2 linked regions of the Nothobranchius furzeri genome follow. The protein of the gene in region 1 interacts with the protein of each later gene in a pairwise test. Links are inferred from orthologs where the notes say so. Each region holds a gene or a part of one and is shown on either strand. Other genes may lie near its edges.

Region 1 (3,085 bases):
ATCCAGTTTCTACCCATATTATATTATTTACATGGACTCAGAGTAGCGGGGATTCTTTTGAGCAGAGATGCAGAGAGCTGCAGGCAGACCGCTGATTATTCATGAACTCCAGCTGCGTTCTGCACACGGCCACAGTAACATTTTCTAAGTTTCTAAGTGGTGTCACCAAAAATATATACAATTAACACACAGTCATTCGTGTCCGTTCATTTTCTCTCTGGTAAGTTCTGTCTGTATTTGAGCATGACGTGTGGACGCGCTCACGCTGCCCCGGCTGCAGCGCTCGTCACTGGCGCAGCCGGGCAGCGCAGCGCACACTCCGCTTTTTTTGCGGTCAATAGATCAATTTGATCTGCTAGTTAAAAAGTTACTTGTGAGGTGAAAAGAAGGAAGCAGGCAGGAGTTTTTTTGGAGGACTGGGAGATGCAGGAAGATCAGAGACAGACAGGACAGGATGATAAGAAAATAAAACCCAAGAAAACAAAACAAAGTTCTTAAAAAAATAAAATTTAGGTAGATTTATCCCACGACACATTTGTACCTGTATAAAGCAATAATTTATCAGCATGTAGTATTTATATAGCTGATACAATTCAGATCATCTTCAAAACTCCGTCCCACGCCCAGGGACGTATCTAAGCATTTTGGGGGCCGAGGCTAAATAGACCCCTGCCAGGTATTTTAAGTTGAAGTGCAATCTGTTTTTATATTAGACTTTTTATATTTGCAATAAAGTCCAAAAGTGAAGAATTTATGTTATTTATTGATTGTTAAAGCTACCTCACAGAAGTGATCTGTAGTTAAAAATTAAAATAAAAAGGTAATGAAATAAAAAATAAGGAACATTCTGGAACTGTTTCTTCCATTTCTTTAATGTATCGAAAGTATCGGATCGGGACTCGGTATCGGCAGATCCTCAAAATCAAATAACTCGGACTCGAGGGCAAAAAACCCTGATCGGGACATCCCTAATTATTATTATTATACATACATATATCTATATAATTTTAATTGCATTTTATTATCGAACCGATATGATGTTAAAAACATGACAAACATCGGCCGATGATACAGTGTGCATCCCTATTATTACCCTTTTAAATTCAGATGTATGAAAAAGAATGCTTTATTTTATTTGTTTAATCAGTTTATTGGACGATAATGCAATAATAAATGTATACATCATATTTTATCATGTAATCCTATATTTTCTAGATCACACATGTCAAAAGTGCAGCCACAGGCCCGGTGGAGTGATTTCGTGTGGCCCCCACTTGCATTTCTACAATACTGAATTTTGTCTCTTCTGTAGGCTGTTGATGTAAATCAACACTTAGTAATATTTTTACATTCAGGGTTTTGCTACAATGTCTATTGTGGACTAATGTTTAGGTGTACACACACAAAAAAAAATATATATATATATATACACACATACATATACACATACACACTATACATTTTTTCTTTTTTTTTTTTAAATCCAATATTTGTGTCCCGTGAGGACTACTGACTTGATAATGCCGTCACTCATTTTACAATGTTTGATCAGATTCTCCGCCAGAGTGCAGAGAAAAAGCATTAGAACCTATATAGCAGGTACTAATTGTATTAAAGACGTAGAAGTTTTAGAGGCTAAAAAAATCTGTGTATCAAACAAGATACAAATGGTATAGAAGTCTAAAGGCACACTTCATAGTTTTGTTTGCTTTTACCACCCCCTACTGTCCGTTATTAATTCTCTGGTCAAACCGAAAGCAAAACTTATCTCATCTCTGTGCGTTCATCTTTTTAACACCTTAATCCAACAGCTGAAATGTCTCCCAGCCTTCATTAGTGTCCACAGGAGTGACTCGTCACTGAATTAAACAAACCAGCTGTGTTCATGATCTAAAACATGCAGGAAATGTGTTGAAAGCAGACTGCAGCACCAGGTATGTCAGCTCTATTTTTCTTAAGTCCCAACAGAGCACCTTGCCAGTCTGAAGCTGCAGATCCAGTATTCTGGCCACAGGGCGGGGTCTGAGTGACATTTCATTAACCTTGTAAAGGATTATTTTAGCACATACTGGGTCAAGAAAATGATTTTAAAACATGATAAAGCAGCAAAGTATGGCTTTAATAATTAGAGTTCTTAAGTTTTAATAAGTTTAAAAGATCACAGAAATTTAAATATACAACTAATTTCCCTTTCAAAATAAACTATACGTAAACCAATCTTTTTATATATATATTTCATTTTTCATTTATTGACATTAAAATAAAATTACAGAAAAAAATTGCTACAAGCCAAAATGAAAAAGGGGACAGAAAGAAGAAAAACTTATGTTATCTGTCCCTTTTAACTAAAATAACATTAATACAAATGAAACAATCATGATTCTTAAAAAATAATAATAATAATAAATTCACAAATGCCTCTAACCCACCTGTTTTCTGTAGAACCTGCTTCCCCTCAACTGTAGACCCAAGCAAGCCCAAAGTGTCGAGGCCCACGCCGATCATGGCAGGGTCCGGATCAAGGGCCATCTCCAACGCCTTGTTCAGGAAGGCTGGGTAGGTCTCACACACCTGCTGTGGGCTGTCCATAATGGCCAGGTTCCCAAAGAACTTCACCAAACCTAAAACCAGTCCAACTTCCATGGTAAGAACCTTCTGTGTTCCTCCTTAATTAATACTGACCATTTAGACAAAGCTGTGACTTCTTCTCCCCTTTTAACCAACTTTAATGTATTGGATCAGTTAAATCACATTTAATAACTACAAATTAATTACAAGTGTTTCTAGCTTATGCTAAGTTTGAAACGGATATAAATTGTTACCTGGAAGGTAGAGTGAAGAAAATGAGTCCATTTCTGCTCCTCTGATCATGTTGGAGATCTTATCCATTATCCCCTGCTGAGCTAAATATTGCCGGCCATGCTGACTGTGAGCCAGACTGGTCACCATCTCTACTGCTGTGGCTCTGGTGAAATAAATAGACAAGAGAGGATGGGAAAGCATGAAAGGATGTCACACAAGTAATTTATCGATGATAAAAACAGTGGTACCTAATCAAAACATCATCCCCCGTCAGTTCTCCGAG
Region 2 (3,831 bases), on another chromosome or scaffold:
TTCAAAACTCAGATCGTAATCGTGATTAAAATTCGATTAATTGAGCAGCCCTAAATTAAAGAATTATTTAGTATGGCTTGCCAGGCTACAAAATATATGATTAAGAAAAACATGTGAGCAGTTACATGATTCATGACTCTTAAGTCCATGTGTGCTCTGATCTCCTTATATCAGATTAGTCTGATATGATTCTAAGGAAAACTAGTCACTTTACTTATTACAGAGAAGTGCAGTGAGTAGTGAGAGCTGCAGAGAGGATAATTTGTACCCCACTCCCAGCCCTAGTAGACCTCTACAAAGATCAGTGTGTCAAAAAGGCAACGACATTCGGCAGGACCTCCCTCACCCATCACAACACCTCTTTTTACCCCTGCCCTGTGGCACTAGACTACACAACATCTGGGCCAGATCATCCAGCCTGCAACAGTGAGGCCATCATATCAAAAATAACAATTAAACATCAACATCCAAACTAGATTTATTTCCACTGCATCTGATGTGGATCTGACTCGTTAGTATATTTTCATTTATCCACAAAAGGTGTCAATTTTCATATTATAGTTGTGTTTGATGATCGTTTGTTTCTGATTTTCTGTGTGTGATGGCCATCCCATGTTCTCAACCATGATGGTAATTTCCAGTGAGACTGTTAAAATAACACTATGCAGGGCATCCACGGGTTCTTGACTTTGATTTAAGGAAAATTAAGACCCTTAAAAAGTCTTAAATCAGTTTAGTAAAGTCTTAATTGCTGAAGTGGAAAATGAAGCGATGCAGTATTTAAAAAGCTTATACGATTAGTTTATTGCGATAGTCTTTATAAAATTTTTGTTTTTACAAGGTCCTAAAAAGTCTTGAATTTTGAGATCCCTGCCCTATACCCTGCTGAAGAGGATTCACATTGAATTATATGTTGTGCATTTTGAATTTGGCAGGCATCAAGGAGTCGGACACAGGCTTGGCTCCACCAGCCCTCTGGGATCTGGCTGCTGACAAGCAGACCCTGCAGAGTGAACAGCCGTTACAGGTAGCGAGGTAAGCAAGTCGTTCGTTGTTAAAGGTACTAAGATTTTTTTTTTATTTCTAAATGTAGTTTGTTTACGGGAGCTCAAAACTGTAATCTGGGGATAACTTATGGCTCAGTGTTACAAAACTAGTTAATTACGTGACTGTTACCATGGTTACCAACTATTTGGAGTAAATCAGTACACCATAACGCTTGATTCAGTGTATTCATATTAATGCTCTGATGTTTTCTGTTTTCCTCTTTGATGTGACCAACTTGCCTCGATGATCTGAGCAGATGACTTGTGTGTCAGCTCTAGTCAGTTTTAATCAGAGGCATCAGTTCACTTAGTAATCTGGTAACCAGTGTCAGTGCTGCTGGTTTTAGATGGAATAAGTTAAGCTAGCTAACCAAAGGCATCTTATAATGTTATGACCCTTCTGTCAAATGTGGGTGAAATGTCTCATTGTTTAAAAAATTGTCGTGTTTTTTATGCGGCTTCAGTTGCTAAAATGTGAACTCTGTTCTTTTGTGAATTTTCCCTGTTGTTCAATCAGATGCACCAAGATCATCAATGCAGACTCTGAAGACCCCAAATACATCATCAATGTCAAACAGTTTGCTAAGTTTGTGGTGGATCTGAGTGACCAGGTGGCTCCGACTGACATAGAGGAGGGCATGAGAGTCGGGTAAGGCATAAAAAAGCTGCAGTTGTTTTAAAGATTCGTTCCTGCAGTCTGATAAACACAGTGTTCCTTCTGTCTCTCAAGGGTTGACCGCAACAAATACCAGATCCACATCCCATTGCCTCCGAAAATCGACCCCACCGTCACCATGATGCAGGTGTGTGTGTAAACGATTATATAGAAGTATGTCTGGTGTAAAAAGCAGTGACTGACGGGGTCTTTGTAGGTGGAGGAGAAGCCTGATGTGACTTACAGCGATGTTGGTGGATGTAAGGAGCAGATCGAGAAGCTGAGGGAAGTGGTTGAAACTCCTCTGCTTCATGTGAGTTTGACAGCCGTACTCGGGTCTGGGTGTGAAACTAAACTCGGCTTTATAAACAACGTGGTTAACCACAAAACAATCTGTGCCCTGTAAACGGAGCTTTTCATTTCATTTAGGCATTCTTTCTTCATCAGAGGTGAGCTAACATATCTGTCCTCTCTCCACCAGCCTGAGAGATTTGTTAACCTGGGTATTGAGCCTCCTAAAGGAGTGCTGCTGTTTGGTCCCCCCGGCACCGGAAAGACCCTGTGTGCCCGAGCTGTGGCCAACCGAACTGACGCCTGCTTCATCAGAGTCATCGGCTCTGAGCTGGTGCAGAAGTATGTGGGAGAGGTGAGTCCTCCTCCGGCGGCGGCAGGGGGGCAGTTAGCGTGAAAAGTTTTCGTTCCTGACTCTGTTTGTGTTTCCAGGGAGCCAGGATGGTCCGCGAGCTGTTCGAGATGGCCAGGACTAAGAAGGCTTGCCTGATTTTTTTTGATGAAATCGATGCTATCGGAGGTAAGGATCTTATCTGTGCTGTGATTCTCACAAATCCTTCGTTTTTGCAGCTAGTTTTGTCCAAAAGGCTGTTTTTCGAGCCATCTTCTGTTTTTGAACCTGCCAGGTGCTCGCTTTGATGACGGCGCTGGTGGCGACAACGAGGTCCAGAGGACCATGCTGGAGCTCATCAACCAGCTAGACGGCTTCGACCCTCGAGGCAACATCAAAGTTCTGATGGCCACCAACAGACCCGACACTCTGGACCCGGCCCTGATGCGACCGGGACGTCTGGACAGGAAGATTGAGTTCAGTCTGCCTGATCTGGAGGTGAGATCATAAAACAAGTTATTTCTTCTGTGAATCCAAAAACTTTTTGAGATAATTTCTTTTCTCTCATGAGAAATGAGCTCACCCCTTCTGTTATGTGTTCCAGGGTCGCACCCACATCTTTAAGATCCATGCCCGCTCCATGAGCGTAGAGAGAGATATTCGTTTTGAGCTTTTGGCCCGCCTCTGCCCCAACAGCACCGGTAAGACTCATCCCCATCTGTCTACTGTAGAAACGGTTCTGTCCTACCTCCTGGTAATGATTACAGAATACCTAGTTGTTTTAGATGGATGACTGGATGAATGTATCGACCATCAGCAGCAAACCCTTAGGTGGTTTAAGGAGCTTTTTTCTTTTCCACCTAATTTTTTATACTTCTCAGTTTCAAGAATTTTAAATTTGAAGTGTACACATCTAAATGAAGCCTGAATGCACTAAAACACTCAGCTCCTCCCGAGCGTCCCACCGATGCCCACCTGCTTTTACGTTCTAATGTAATACGCAGTTTATTTGTTTAAATTAGAAATTATGACACGTCTCACCTTTATGTTGATATTGTTTTATTTGATGCACTCCACTTTGAACTGCACCAATCCAGCAACTGCTACATTTTATTAACTAGTATTAAAGGTGAATACACCAATATTTGCACAAGAATTATTTTTGTTTTAAACTCTCAGTGACACACTTTGCAGGGGGTGATTTGGCATTTAATTTTTCTTGGCGTCTGGAAAAACATCTCCTTTTGCCCCCTTTATTTTGGTCCAAGATCATTACTGGGCTGGCCCTATTAAAAACGTTCTACACCCCTGCTTAGTAGACTTAATGAAGTATTTTTGAGCCAGTATGAAAATGACTGAAACACAAATTTACATATTTGGCATTATTGACCAATATCTTTGATTTAATTTATTTGTTAAGAACATCAAGATGCATTACTGTGAACATTATAATAAAGTAAAATTTTCTAGTGCAGAGAGGAGACAACCCGTAGAAGCACTGATTTGAT

The links.
Region 2: the proteins of psmd5 (region 1) and psmc2 interact in binary tests that used the Homo sapiens proteins (3 or more experiments, as listed by UniProt). The link is inferred for Nothobranchius furzeri from reciprocal best matches to the Homo sapiens genes PSMD5 and PSMC2.

What each region holds. Positions count from the first base shown.
Region 1 is NC_091746.1:60,974,650-60,977,734, forward strand, and holds part of psmd5 (26S proteasome non-ATPase regulatory subunit 5), read right to left. Parts: coding exon 3,051-3,085; intron 2,966-3,050; coding exon 2,823-2,965; intron 2,622-2,822; coding exon 2,430-2,621; intron 1-2,429. UniProt on the Homo sapiens protein: Acts as a chaperone during the assembly of the 26S proteasome, specifically of the base subcomplex of the PA700/19S regulatory complex (RC).
Region 2 is NC_091741.1:59,234,495-59,238,325, forward strand, and holds part of psmc2 (26S proteasome regulatory subunit 7), read left to right. Parts: intron 1-935; coding exon 936-1,035; intron 1,036-1,563; coding exon 1,564-1,695; intron 1,696-1,776; coding exon 1,777-1,849; intron 1,850-1,918; coding exon 1,919-2,014; intron 2,015-2,182; coding exon 2,183-2,347; intron 2,348-2,424; coding exon 2,425-2,512; intron 2,513-2,618; coding exon 2,619-2,821; intron 2,822-2,927; coding exon 2,928-3,024; intron 3,025-3,831.